2 linked regions of the Cricetulus griseus genome follow. The protein of the gene in region 1 interacts with the protein of each later gene in a biochemical or structural test. Links are inferred from orthologs where the notes say so. Each region holds a gene or a part of one and is shown in the gene's direction. Other genes may lie near its edges.

Evidence for each region. The genes of interacting proteins can lie anywhere in the genome.
Region 2: of the proteins of Ddx58 (region 1) and Rnf135, one has a biochemical effect on the other in vitro, tested with the Homo sapiens proteins (6 studies listed by BioGRID, with this or other methods). The link is inferred for Cricetulus griseus from reciprocal best matches to the Homo sapiens genes RIGI and RNF135.

Annotation. Positions count from the first base shown.
Region 1 is NC_048595.1:102,311,072-102,318,863, forward strand, and holds the start of Ddx58 (antiviral innate immune response receptor RIG-I), read left to right. Parts: upstream 1-2,691; 5' UTR 2,692-2,836; coding exon 2,837-2,942; intron 2,943-7,792.
Region 2 is NC_048600.1:93,646,873-93,654,627, forward strand, and holds the start of Rnf135 (E3 ubiquitin-protein ligase RNF135), read left to right. Parts: upstream 1-3,722; 5' UTR 3,723-3,745; coding exon 3,746-4,093; intron 4,094-6,222; coding exon 6,223-6,363; intron 6,364-7,755.

The DNA of each region.
Region 1 (7,792 bases):
AGTGCTGGGACTAAAGGCATGCACCACCACCGCCTGGCTAAGGTTTCTTTTTATTGTTCAAGCTGGCCAGCTTGGATCTCACTCCATGGTGGGAAATGAGATGCCAACCAGCCAAAAATCTTATGTGACCATAAGGTTGAAGGCCACAAATTTCAAGAGTTTCCATGGTTACTTAAGGTCATACAAAGTACAGAGTAAAGCAGTAACTATATATTTTAAACAAGATATATTTGAGTGAGATAAGACAAGGCATAAGGTTACAGAGTCACAGGGTCTGTCAGTTATCCTCTGGGCTGGGGATCTTTACAACTTTAGGACCAGCAATTAGCAGACAGGAATGTTGACCCAAGTGGTGGAGGATCACCTCCCCTTCTCTGAGAGCAGGACTCAGGCACCAGCTACAGCACTCCTGATATAAGGAGTCAAAATTTCCTTTACCATTAGAAGTTCCCTTTCTCTGTATAGATTTAGGGCCCAAGTTTTTAAACTTTTATTAATTTTAACTTTTGGTCTTTCAACTTAAGGAGAAAAAAAATATACTAGTACACAAACTCTTAGGATCCTAACACAAAAAGTGTTACAAAAACTTGCAGACCAATATCCTTTATGAACACAGACAAAATAAAAAAATAACCAACTGTATGAAAATACTAGCAAATTGAATACAGAAGTATATAGAAAAGATTGTCATCAGAAGAGGTTTATTCCAGGAATTCTAGGCCTATTTAAATTTACAAGTCCATCAATGACCCAAGCATGTTGGCACAAACTTGTAATCTTAGCATTCTAGAGGCAGAAGCAGGAGGAACAGTTCAAAGGTCATCCTAGGCTATATAGCGAGTTTCAGGCCATTTTAGGCTACATAGAACCCTGTCTCAATCAAAACAAAATAAAATCAATAAAATTTGGCATGTTAACAAATATATGATCACCTCAATAGATGGGGGAAAAAGACAGTTGAAAAAATTCACTCATTCATGCTAAAGGAAAAAAAAACCTTAAATATAAAAGAAAATGTCATTAATCTGACAGGGGGCATCTGTCATAGTTTATGTCAACTTGACAGAAATCTGGACTTTAAGTTGAGGGAACCTCGGGCTGGAGAGATGGCTCTCTTCCAACGGTCCTGAGTTCATTCCCAGCAACCACATGGTGGCTTATCTCATCTGTAATGAGATTTGGTGCCCTCTTTTGGCCTGCAGGCATACATGCAGGTCGAACTTTCTACACATAATAAATAAATCTCTAAAAAGAAAAAAAAAAAAAAAAAAAAAAAAAAAAAAAAAAGACGAGGAAACCCAACTGAGAATGGCCTCCACGAGACTGGTCTGTACTGAAACATCTTGGTTGCTGATTGATGAAGAAGTGCCTGTCATACTTCAAACACTATAATCCCTAGGCTGGGTTATAAGAAAGGTATTCTGAGCAAACCAGCGCAAGCAAGCCAGTAAATTGTATTCCTCCATGGTTTCTGTTTCAATCCCAACCTCCAGGTTTCTAAAGCCTTGAGTTCCTGCCTTGGCTTCCCTTGATGATGGACTTGAAAACAGGAAACCAAATAAACACTCTTGGTCAGTGTTTTATCACAGAACCAGAAAGCAAATTATACCCGCATCTCTGATCCTTTCCAACCGTGGTTAGTGATAAACTTTGCCTATTCTCATAAAAAAAAAAAGAATGGAAATTAATAAAAGTCATAAAATCACTGAGTGGCACATGCCTTTAATCCCAACACTTGGGAGACAGAGGCCAGCTGGATCTACAGAGCAAATTCCAGAGCAGCCAGGGTTACAAGAAACCCTGTTTCAAAAAAGCAAAATACTGGGTGTTGGTGGCGCAGGCCTTTAATCCCAGCACTCGGGAGGCAGAGGCAGGCGGATCTCTGTGAGTTCGAGGCCAGCCTGGTCTCCAGAGCGAGTGCCAGGACATGCTCCAAAGCTACACAGAGAAACCCTGTCTCAAAACAAAACAAACAAAAAAACAAAAAAAAGCTAAATAAATAATTAGTCATGGAGGGCAGGGCAGGTGAGGAGGGGAGGGAGAGGGAACAGGGATTGACAAGTAAAACAATCTTGTTTCTAATTTAAATTTTAAAAAAAAGTCATGAAGCCGTGAAAGGAGACCCTGATAATTATATTTTATTAATATAAATGTAATACTCATCAAAAAACACCTTTAAGGAAATTGGAGTGGTAAGCTGCAAACAGGAATATGATATTTGAATATATACAATTTTTATGTTCAATATACACATTCAAAAGATAGTATAATAGCTAAACAAAGACAGGCATGTGTTCAGAATCATTAACTATATGGGAAGATAAAACTACAGTAATTATCAATTTGCTACAGAGAAAGAAAGAAAACCATCTGTATCCAACAGATGCATGTCAGCTTTAGTTCTATAACTCCGAGTGGGAATGCAAACTGGTGTTGTCACTTTGGAAAAGAGGTGATAGTTTCCTAACAAAGCAGAGATTTCTGCAGGACCCAGCTGATCTGTCGGAAGAGGTAACTGTGTCTCGGTTTTTCGGAATTCATTGAACTGTACACTTCAACTGTGCGCACTTTATAATATAAACCGCACCACTCCAAAAGCAGCCCGCAAACTTCAAGGCTGTTGCCAAGGAGCCTTTGGGTCCCTCCTGGCCAGCGCCTCACGGGATCAGAAAGGAAACTGAATCCCCGCCCCCAGCGCCGCGAGGGCAGTTTCGATTTCCTCTCTCAGGCCCTGGCGGCTTGTGGCTCTGGGTGTCTTCTTGGAAAATCCCTACAGCGCTCACTTCTAGTGGCTTTGGGGGATCCAGGGCGATCATCGCTCGGGGGGAGACACAGAATGACAGCTGAACAGAGGCAGAATCTGCAAGCGTTCAGAGACTATGTCAGGAAGACTCTGGACCCCACCTACATCCTCAGCTACATGAGTCCCTGGCTCCAGGATGGTGAGTGTTCCCAGATGCGCTGGCTCTCAGGCTTTCCAAGTAGGTGTGGAAAAAAGAAAAAAAAAAAGAAAAAAAAACACTCAGGCCAAAACCAATTGGGGTCCCATTCCTCACCCCCCCCTTTTTCTGCTTTCTTTAGGCCAGTTTGGGTAACTAACCTAGGTACACTGGGCTTGTGCCAGACGCCTATGGCATATTAGACTGGACAGCAACTGGGTTTGATGGTCAGGGACAGTTCCTGCAAAGTGGATGAAACTTCGTTAAGAGTTTGGGGTAACCTAAATCTGTATTCCTGGGCCATGGTCACTCAGAATGGCGCCAGAATAAACTGTCTCTTATTCTCTTTAAGATGAAAGAAATTGGTTTGTTTTGTTCTTTTGCTTTTTTTTCTGTCTTGAAAGTTTGCATTGAAGTAGTCTTTCAACTCTTTGGTTAGGGTTAGGGTTTGTTGTTTGTTTGAGGCTACTGTGGATAGTAACCCCCTTTTCTGATTTCTTTTTTGCCATGTTTGTTAAAGGCATGTCAGAGAGCTACTTGTTTGTATGTTAATCAGAAAAATTGTTTTTCCTTCCTTCCTTTCTTTCTTCTACCATGTACTAATCTAATTTCACTATCAGAGTAATGGCAGCTTTGTAGACAGTGTTTGTTGGTGTCCCTTCCCCTTCGATTCTATGGCACATGTTGAAGAATCTTGATGTTACCTTTTCTTTAAAGGTTTGGTAGAATTAGGCAGTGAATCATCTAATTCTAGGCTTTTCTTCATTTGGAGATTTTTTTTTCTTGTTATAGATCTCTTTGTTTATATCCTCTTCATTAAATTTTGATAGACAGTGTCTAGGAATTTGCCGATTTCTTTTTTTCCTAAATTTTTTAAAAATTTAAATTAGAAACAATTTTATTTTACATATCAGTCCCAGTTCCCTCTCCCTCCCATGCCCCCCCAACCCATCCCTCTTCTGCTCCCCAGGGAGAGTGAGGCCTTCCATGGGGATCTTCAAAGTCTGTCATATCATTTGAAACAGGGCCTCCTCCCCCGAGTGTCTAGGCTGAGAGAGCATCCCTCTAATGTGGAATGGGCTTCCCAAAGTCCATTCGTACACTAGGATAAATACTGATCCACTGCCAGAGGCCCCATAGACTGACCAGGCCTCCTAGCTGACACCCATGTTCAGGAGGGTCTGGGTGAGTCCTATGCTGATTTCCCAGCTATCAGTCTGGGGTCCATGAGCTCCCCCTTGTTCAGGTCAGCTGTTTCTGTGGGTTTCCTCAGCCTGATCTTGACCCTTTTGCTCATCACTCATCCCTCTCTGAAATTGGATTCCAGGAGTTTGGCTCAGTGCTTGGCTGTGGGTGTCTGCTTCCATCAGCTACTGAATCTGCTTCCATCATCCTACAGGCTCTAGGGTGGCATATAAGGTAGTCATCAATCTCATTATGGGGGAAGGGCATTTAAGGTAGCCTCTCCACTATTGCTTAGATTCCAAAATATACAAAGAATTCAAGAAGCTAGTCATCAAAACACCAAGTAATCCAATTAAAAAGTGGGGTACAGAACTAAGTGGACAATTCTCAATAGAGGAATCTAAAATGGCTGAAAGACATTTAAGAAAGTGCTCAACATCCTTAGCCATCAGGGAAATGCAAATCAAAACAACTTTTGAGAATGGCTAAAATCAAAAACACCAATGACAGTTTATCCTGGAGAGGATGTGGAGAAAGGGGAACATTTCTCCATTGCTGGCGAGAGTGCAAACTGGTATAGCCACTTTGGAAATCAGTATGATGGTTCCTCAGGAAAAAGGGAATCCGTTTACCTCAAGATCCAGCAATTCCACTCTTAGGCATATACCCAAAGGAAGCATATTCATACCACAAGGACATCAGTTCATCTATGTGCATAGCAGCATTATTTGTAATAGCCTGAACCTGGATGCAACCTAGATGTCCCTCAACTGAAGAATGGATGGAGAAAATGGGGTACATTTACACAATGGAGTACTATTCAGTGGGGGGAAAAAAAAGCAACGAAATCTTGAAATTCACAAGCAAATGGATGGAACCAGAAGAAACCATCCTGAGTGAGGTAACCCTGTCACAAAAAGACAAACATGGTATGTACTCACTCATATATGGATATTAGACATAAAGCAAAGGATTACCAACCTACAATCCACAACTCCAGAGAATTGAGGAAAAAAGGAGGACCCTAGGAGAGACATACATTGTCCCCCCAGAGAAGAGAAAAGAGACAAGATCTTCTGAGCAAATTGGGAGCATGGGGGAAGGGGAGAGGGGGCTGTAAGAAAGAGAGGAGGAGAACAGGAGGGGAGAGGAGGACATGAGGGAGCAAGAAAATTGAGTCGAGGGAAGAATAAAGGAGAGCAAGAAAAGAGATACCTTAATAGAGGGAGCCATTATAGGTTTAAAGAGAAATCTGGCACTAGGGAAATGTCCAGAGATCTACAAGGATGACTCCAACTAAAAAAATCTAAGCAATAGTGGAGAGGCTACCTTAAATAACCTTCCCCTATAATGAGATTGATGACTACCTTATATGCCACCCTAGAGCCCCTTCATTCAGTAGCTGATGGAAGCAGACACCCACAGCTAAGCACTGAGCCAAACTCCTGGAATCCAGTTGCAGAGAGGGAGGAGTGATGAGAAAAGGGGTCAAGATCAGGCTGAGGAAACCCACAGAAACAGCTGACCTGAACAAGGGGGAGCTCATGGACCCCAGACTGATAGCTGGGAAATCAGCATAGGACTCACCCAGATCCTCCTGAACATGGGTATCAGTTAGGAGGCCTGGTCAGTCTATGGGGCCTCTGGTAGTGGATCAGTATTTATCCCTAGTGTACGAATGGACTTTGAGAGCCCATTACACTCAAGAGGGATGCTCTCTCAGCCTAGACACTTGGGGGGAGAGGGGCTTGGCCCTGTTTCAAATGATTAAACAGACTTTGAAGATTCCCCATGGAAGATTGCACCCTCCCTCCCTGGAGAGCAGAAAGGGATTGGGTTGGGGGGTTGGTGTGTGGCATGGGAGGGAGAGGGAACTGGGATTTATATGTAAAACAAGATTGTTTCTAATTTAAATTTAAAAAGAGAGGAAAAAAAGATTTCAAAGGATAGCTAATTCACAATGCAATTTTTGTTTTGTTTTGTTTTTGAGACAGGGTTTCTCTGTGGCTTTGGAGCCTGTCCTGGAACTAGCTCTTGTAGACCATGCTGGTCTCGAATTCACAGAGATCTGTCTGCCTTTGCCTCTCAAGTGCTGGGATTAAAGGTGTGAGCCACCACTGCCCTGCTTTTTTTTTTTTTTTTTTTTTTTATTGGAGTATCATTGGTTGTTTTTTTGTTTGTTTGTTTGTTTGTTTTCTGAGACAGGGTTTCTTTGAGTAGCCCTGGTTACCCTGAAACTCACTCTGTAGACCTGAGTTAGACCAGGCTGACTTCTAACTCAGAGTAACACCTGCCTCTGCCTCCTTAGTTCTGGGACTAAAGATGAGTGCCACTAGCATCTGGCACCACAATACAGCATTGTTGCAAAATAAATGTGGCAGGACAACTTAAAACTAAAAAACACCTGGGTGTTATCAAGCATCTTATCAATATTGTTGAATTAGCTCATTAGTATCATGAAGATACAGGTTGTTTTTAATGCAGTCAGAATGACTGTGAGGCCACATATACAATTTTATACCCCATAAAATGAGAGTATATCAACTTCCTCATATCTGTAAGCTTTCTTAAATACAACACTACATAAATCTTAAGCAAATGTTCCAAAGCATGGTTTATATAAATTCATTCTTCAATTTGCAGGTTTGGGACTCCAGGAAAATGGTTTAAGTCTGTTTCAGTTTCTTTATCTGTATGATAGGAATAATAATGTTTGAGGATTTTGCGAATAAATGTCCATTATACTACATTAGCAATGGGCATTCTATGTCCTTAGAATTAATCATAGGACTTTTAAAAAATTATATAATTTCAAAGCATCATACTTTAGGACCACAAGATGGCCTTATAAGTAAAGGCACTTCCTGCCAATCCTGCCCACCTGAGTTTGATTTTCAAGACACCCACTTGGTAGAAGGAGAGAATCAGCTCCTGCAAGTTGTTCTCTGGCCACTCTGCACATTTGCATGCATCACACACACACACACACACACACACACACACACTCAAAGAAGCAAATAAAGAAATAAAGAACAATAACAAGAGTCCGTTTAAATAACTCTTAACTAAAAGAAAATCAAAATATTGCTAGCCACTTTTAAAGTAAAGCTACCAATCAACCCACACACTACACGTTTAAGATATCAGTTAAGGGGGCTGGAGAGATGGCTCAGAGGTTAAGAGCATGAGCTGCTCTTCCAGAGGTCCTGAGTTCAATTCCCAGCAACCACATGGTGGCTCACAACCATCCGTTATGAAATCTGGTGCCCTCTTCTAGTGGAAGCAGATTGTTGTATACATAATAAATAAATAAATTTAAAACAAAAGATATCAGTTAAGCCTCCAAACAGGGAAAATTACAGCTTAAGTGTATTAATTGGTAATTCAAAAGAATGAAACTAAGGAATTAGTTGGCTCTATTAAAACATAGCAATGTGCCGGGCGGTGGTGGTACACACCTTTAATCCCAGCACTCAGGAGGAGGAGGCTGTCTGGTCTACAAGAGCCAGTTCCAGGACAGCCTCCAAAACCACAGAGAACTCTGTCTGGAAAAAAACCAAAAAAAAAAAAAAAAAACCAAAACAAACAAACAAAAAAAACAAAGCAATGCAAACAAAAGACAATAGCAATGAGAAACAGTAATAGCCAGAAAGTCCCAAGGAAAGCAA
Region 2 (7,755 bases), on another chromosome or scaffold:
CAAAGGGGCAGTAAATAAGCAGTCATACCACTGATTACAAGGGAGAGGGTATCTAGGTGGGTGTTTCCCTCAGAGCAGCAGAGGAGGACTGACAAGAAATCTCAGTGAGATATAGCACATGGTCTGGCTTGGCTCCTAACCTCTCTGGATCTCTCTGTCTTGGTTTCTGAAGCTACCTCTCTGTCTTTATTTTATTATTTTCTTTTTAAGCGGAGCAAATGTATTTTTTTGTTTTGTTTTAAGGAACAATGAGGCGAGAACTTCCAAGAGTAGAAGTGGCCTCCAAGGCATAAATACTGTTTTCCCCCTTTGGGTTAGGTAGTTAGTTATTATTATTGTGTACCTGCGTGCATGTGCGAGGGAGTGTGTGTCACAGCATACTTGTTGTGAGAAGCAATCCTTTGCATCTTTCTGTGGATTCCAGGATCCAATTCATGTGTCAGGCTTGCATAATAAACACTTGACCTGTAGAGGCATCTCACCAGTCCTATTTGATTTCTTTTTCATTTTTATTTATTTTTTGTTCAAGATAGGGCTTCTCTATAACAGCTCTGCCTTGTCCTGGAACTTACTCTGTAGACCAGGCTGGCCTCAAACTCAGAGCTCTGCTTGCCTCTGCTTCCTGAGTTCTGGGATTAAATGCATGAGCCACCACCACCTGGCCCTATTTTATTCTTTTAGAGAAATTCTTAAGTATCCCAAACTGGCCTCCAACTGACTGTGTAGCTAAGGATGGCCTTGAACTTCTGATCCTCTTCCCTCTACTGGGTGCTGAGATCACAGGCCTGTGGCACCTTGCTCGGTGCTGGAGGTCAAACCCAGGGCTTCATGCACAAGGTAAGGGCTCTACCAACTGCTTTACATCTCCAGCCCACTCCTCGCCCCCTCCCCCGCCCCTCCCTCCCCCCACCAGCCCTTTGCAACTTGAACTACAGATGAATTTGATTTGACAGGCTGGTTTTAGTTAAAGTAGTAAATATTCTTCATAAATTCAGTGAGTTCAATTGACTCCTCCAAACTTTTAAACATATTTCAAGTATATAACATAAAATCCTTGCAAAAACATTAGCCTTCCAAAGATGTATTGAAATGAACAAGGGTCTAATTTTCCATTTTGAATATATAGGCTTAAACAAAAATACCAATAAGTAGAAGCTTAACTGGTTAAAATTGAGATTTACTTGACAAGCCTTAGAAAAAGGATGTTTGGCTTTTCTGCCTGCTATCCTCCCCCCCCGCCCCCCCGCAGCGCCGCTCTGGCTGCACTGCGCTTGCTCGGGACCCTCAGGCTAGGGCTTCTGTCCCCAGCCGCCTCCATGATCATCTACCCCGGACCTCATCAGCTATGACAGCTGTTCTCCACCATCTACAAAATCTGAGAGATCACGGACCGGCTGTGCCTGGAGGTGAAGGGCAAGATGGTCAGAGGGTAATAATGATGACTTGCTCATCGGTGGAAATGCTTCTGCCGAAGACCCAGAGGGCGAAGGTACAGTAGTCACCACTGTTGATATTTATGGTCAGGAACCACCACTTACAAGAAGCCAGCTTCACCAAAGAGGCCTACAAAAAGCACATCAAAAATTATGTGAAAGCACTCAAAGGCAAAATTGAAGAACAGAAACCTGAAAAAGTAAAAGCCTTTTATGACTTGGGTCGCAGAGCAAATTAAGCACATCCTTGATAATTTCAATAACTACCAGTTTGTTTGTTTTTTTTTTATTGGCGAGAACATAAATCCAGATGGCATGGTTGCTCTCCTGGACTCTGTGAAGATGGTGTGACTCCAGTCATGATATTCTTTAAGGACAGTCTAGAGATGGAAAAATGTTAACAAATGGGATCTATCACCTGTCACCATAACCGGCTGCTGCTTACCATCCACACAACAACAGGACGTAGGACAAATAGGACTGAGGTCATATTAAGATTTTTATTTTGACCATGATTTATTTGGGGTGGAGACTTTCCCTCCCCCTCCCTCCCTCCCTCCCTCCCTTCCTCCCTCCTCCCTCCCTCCCTCCCTCCCTTCTTTCTTTCTTTCTTTCTTTCTTTTTCTTTCTTCCTTTTAAGAAAAAAGCATGGGGGCTGGAGAGATGGCTCAGCGGTTAAGAGCACTGCTCTTCCGGAGGTCCTGAGTGCAATTCCCGGCAACCATATGGTGGCTCACAACCACCTTGAATGAGATCTGGTAACCTCTTCTGGAATGCAAGCAGAAGACTGTATACATAATAAATAAAATATTAAAAAAAAAGAAAGAAAAAGAAAAAATATGTCGGGGGCTGGAAAGGTGGCTCAGAGGTTAAGAGCACTGGCTGCTCTTCCAGAAGTCCTGAGTTCAATTCCCAGCAACGGCATGGTAGCTCACAACCATCTTTCATAAGATCTGGTGCCCTCTTCTGGTGAGCAGGCAAATATGCAGACAGAATACTGTATACGTAATAAAAATAAGTAAATAAATTTAAAAAAGAAAAGAAAAAACATGTCATGTAGGTTATTTAAAAATAAAGTGCATTTAAATTTTTTTTAAAAAAGTTTTTTGGTATAATTCCTCAAAAGTAAAAAAAGTGAATTTTGCTTGTTTGTTCATTTGCTTGGTTGTTTGTTTTTCCTACTTTTTTTTTTCTTTTTTTTTTCTTTTTTTTTTGAGACAGGGTTTCTTTGTGTAGTTCTGACTGTCCCGGAACTAGCTCTGTAGACCAGGATGGCCTCGAAGTCATAGAGATCCACCTGCCTTTGCCTTCTGAGTGCTGAGATTAAAGGAGTGTGCCGCCATCACTGCCCGGCCCAAAATAAAATATTTTTTTAAAAATTCAATTAAAAACCCTGCTAGGAGATTATTAAAAATAATTTCTGGGGACTAGAGAGATGGCTCAGCTGTTTAGAACACTGCTCTTCCGAGGACCGATGTGAAGTTCCCAGCAGCCACATGGCAGCTCACTACTGTCTGTAACTCCAGTTCCAGGGGACCCGACAGACACATGTGCAGGCAAAACACCAATGCACATTATAAATAAATAAGTAAACAAACAAATAAATAAAGTTATTTTAAAAAATAGGCCGGGCGTTGGTGGCGCATGCCTTTAATCCCAGTACTCGAGGATCTCTGTCGGTTCGAGGCCAGCCTGGTCTCCAGAGCGAGTGCCAGGATAGGCTCCAAAGCTACACAGGAAACCCTGTCTCGAAAAACAAAACAAACCAAAATAAATAAATAAATAAATAAATAAATAAATAAGTAGTCAGATGGTGTTGGTGCACACCTTTAATCTCAGCACTGGGTAGGCTAGAGGCAGGCAGATCACTGGGAGTTTGAGGCAAGCCTGGTCTAGAGAGCGAGTTACAAGACAGCCAAGGATATACACAGAGAAACCCTATCTCGAAAAACTAACAAACAAATCTGAATTCATCCTCAGCCTCGCTGCACTGCTACTCAGTCGTTTTTTTTGTTTTGTTTGCGCACATCTCAGAAAACAAAATGCGACACCTACTGGGCGCAACACTAAAATGAGTTCCTGTAGCGAGCCCTCTTCATAGTTTAAGTTGTTAGGGTTGCTTGTTATGGATGTAGGAGCGGGAGTCACTGGATTGACAGATGATTTTCCAGGCTGGAGGTCAACCAGCTAGCAACGCCAAGCACTTTTAGAGGCTGGGAAGAATGAGAGCGGCTGGGAGGGGCATACGGTGGGCTAGGCGGAGCTAGTAAAGTGGGTGGGGCAGACCAGAGCCTTCCAGGCCACCGCCCAGTATGGCGGCCCCAGTCCTAGGCACTTCGATTCCTGTGTGGTTGAGCGAGGAGGACCTGAGCTGCATTATCTGCCAAGGGCTGCTGGACTGTCCCGTCACGCTGCCCTGCGGCCACAGCTTTTGCCACCGGTGCCTCAATGGCTTGTGGGTCACGCAGCGCGCGGGTGTGGATGGCCGTCCCTGGGCATGCCCCACCTGCCGGGAGGGCCCCGAGGCGAAGCCAAAGCTGCGCAAGAACCTGCTGCTGCAGGACCTGGCGGACAAGTACCGCCAAGCGGCGCTCGAGCTCGAGGCTGGCCCCGCAACCGCGTCCGCGCCCCGGTCGCCGAGTCGCCCCGCGCCACCGCCGGTAGGAAGCCCACACCGCTCTGGCAGCCCGCGTGCGCCCCCTTGGGCCTCTCCTGCCTTCGCGATCTCTTCTTCCGCTACGTGATTTTATCAGTTTAATCTGTTTTCGGGAGTATCTTTGAAAAGTTCAGACTTGTATAAAGAAGTAGAAATGCCCGGCGTGGAGATCGCACGCCTGTAATCCCAGGATTTGGGAGGCTGAGACGGGCATGCCTCACAGCAGCCAAAGCTACATAGTAAGGTCTGGTCACAAACGATAGTTAAAAATCTCATAATAGTTGAAAATCTAAATCCCATCCAACCGAGGTGTATTTCCATTTATTCGACAGCCTTTCTGTGATGTCTAAAAAATTTGCCATTTTAACATTGTTTAATTCTATTTATCGGGGCAGGATCTAACTAGTGTAGACCAAGCTGGACTTGAACCTGAAGTGAGTAATGATCTCTGCCTCCTTGGCTTTCCAAGTCTGGGATTACAGGTGTGAACCACTTGAACTTGCAGAGCTCTGCTTGCCCCTGCTTCTCAAGAGCTGGGATTAAAGGCATGTGCCACCATGACTGGCCAACCATTTGAACAATTTTTTTCAGTGTACAGTTCGATGGCATTTGTCATATCTCCAACACTGTGCATCTGTCACCGCTGTTGCCAAAGTGATTTTATCGCCACATAGGACCTCTGTACCCACTAAGCTATAACACCTGATTCCTGTCCCTCCAGCCTCCGCACATGTCTCATCTACTGTACCAGGCTTTTTCTTTTGAACCACCAATCAGCTCCCAAATATGACTCCGAGACTTCTTTTTTGTAGACCAGGCTGACCTTGAGTTCACTGAGATCCACCTGCCACTGCCTCCCAAGTGCTGGGATTAAAGTTGTGGGCCACCACTGCCGGGTTTGACATGGAGCCTTCTTATTAGTTGTGAATGTTCAGCCTAGTTTAGGCTCGTTTGTGGCTAGCTCTTTAAGTTAACCTGTTCCCCCCTTTTTTCTTTTCCTTTTGCTTCAAGCTTTTTACTTTTCGTTCCTAAGGTTTATTTTAATTTACTGCTTCTCTTCTCTAGCTGGCTGGTAGCTGCCTGGCATCTTGCCCTGGGTGTATATCTCTCTTTCTTCCCTCATTCTCTCCCCTCTCTCCCTTTCTCCCTTTCTCTCTCTCTCTCTCTCTCTCTCTCTCTCTCTCTCTCTCTCTCTCCTGTCTCTCCCTTTCTTTCTTGTTTGCTTTTAAGATTTATTTACTACGTACACATTCTGCCTGCATGAGAGAAGAGGGCACCAGATCTCATTACAGATGGTTGTGAGCCACCATGTGGATGCTGGGAATTGAACTCAGGACCTCTTGAAGAGCAGCCAGTGCTGTTAACCTCTGAGCCAGCCCATGCCTAACTTCTTTCATTCCCATAATATTTTCAGGGCGAATTCATGTTGCAGCATGTATCAGAACACCCTTGCTTTAGGTGGCTATCATATCATCTATGTAGATATATCACTTTCTAATCAATTTATTTGTTAATGAACATTTAAATTGTTTCTACATTCGACTATTATAACTACTGCTACAATGTACATTATCTTACAATTGAGTTCCTATTTTCAGTTTTACTCTTTTCAATTGGGGACTTATCTGAGGGCCCCAGGGGTTCCAGGCATGCATTCTCACCCAGCCTCTCATTTGATTTTCTATATAGTATTGGGCAAGAATCTAACTTCAGGCCAGGCGTTGGTAGTGCACACCTTTAATACCAACACTTAGGAGGCAGAGGCAGGCAGATCTCTGTGAGTTTCAAGCCAGCCTGGTCTATGTGCAGAGCTCCAATATAGCCAGGACTACGTAGAGACAACCTGTCTCAAAAACAAACCAAAGGATCTAACTTCATTGATTGGTATAGGGATATACATTTCTAGTTAGTATTTGTTGAAAATACTTCTTGTGCCTTTAAGTAGTCTTGGCATTCTTGTAAAAATCTATTTCATGGTATATCTGAAGATTTGTTTCTTGTCTCTCTCTTCTTTTCCATCACTCTAAATGTTTTCTTTCATGTTGCTACCTTGGCGTTTATAGCTCCCTTTGTTGAGTGGTGGTTCTGGGTCCAGTTTTTGGGAACCAGAAGCCCAGTTTCACTCTTTTAAAGGTGGCAGTACAGAAAAACACCACAGAAGAGGTCATCCAGGAGCTGACAGAACTGATGCAACAGCTTGTAGACATTGTCAAGAGCCTTCAAACATCAAGACCGGGATCTGGATTGGACAATGAACTAGGCATCCTGGGCATGGTAGGTTCAGGTGGGAAAGGAGGGGCCAGGGTGAAGGACAGCTTCCAGCTAAAGCAGTATGACACATGGGATGCAACAGGTCTCATGTTTCTCTTTACTACCAAATATGGGTGATTAGAAATCTGGCATGCTCGACATGAGTTAATGGAAGCTTCGAGTAAGCTGGGATCCATCCTTCCCACTCTACCCAGTCAACTCTCTAAAATCACCAGCAAGCTCTTGGTAAATCCCACAGATTTGAAAGTCCTTATCTTCAGTGACCTTTACATTTTTTTAAAGATGTATTTATTTTATGTGTTTGAGTATTTTGTCTACATATATATATATATACACACCATGTGCATGTCTGGTGCCTGTAGAGGTCAGAAAGGGTGTTGGACCTCCTGGAATCAAAGTTACAGATGAGTATGAGCCATCATGTAGGTGCTGTGAACTGAACTCAGGTCCTCTACAAGAGCAACAAATGTTCTTAACTGCCAAGTTAACTCTCCAGCCCCATTCAGTGACCTTTTAAAAATATTTTATTATTGTATGGAAGAAAGAGTTTGTGTGTGTATATCAGCGAGTGTGTGTGTGTGTTGTAGGGGAGCGGAGAGGAGAGAGAGAGTAGGGGAGGGTATGGGTTTGTAGGGGAGATCAGAGCATAACTTTCAGGAATCCATTCTCATCTTCCACTGTAGGTCCCAGGGATCTAACTCAGGGTGTGGGGTTTGTTCAGCAAGCATCTTTACAAGCCAAACCATCTTGCTAATGCCCCCTTTCTCCTTTTGAGATGAGATTTTGTTGTGTTGTCCAGTCTAGCCTTCAACATGAACTCATGGTCTTCCTAAACCAGCCTCCTGAGTATCCCCATTGTGCTCACTCTCCAGGTTGCTTCATTTGCTTTTGTTTTATGCTACAGGATCTGTAGCCTAGGCTGGCCTTGAACTCAGAAAGTTGGCCTTGAACTCCTGATCCTCCTACTTCTACTACTTTCTTGCATCTCAACTTTTCCTCTTGGGTCTCTCAAAACCATCACAGTTAAGTGCCCCAATCCTCTGGGGATTCTCCATCACTGCCTTGGTCTCATTCTTCCAAATACACAAGCCAGAAGCCTGGAAGTCATGTCACTTCCTCTACCCTAACCGGTCTAGCAGCACACTGAGGTTCCACAGCCAGCCGAAGTATCTTCCAAATCTATTCACCCTGAGCTCCTATGAGAATTCTCTAGTCCAAGCCTATGATGATCTTTTGCCTGGATTGTCATCACAGCCCTGCAAATATTCCACTCTATTTTAGTCAACTCTCTTCATACAGATATGACCATGTAACTCATCTGCTTGAAATACTCTGATGACGTTTGTTTAACCCGAGACAATCAGTTTTTAGCTCTCTGTTTACAGGCGCCCATTG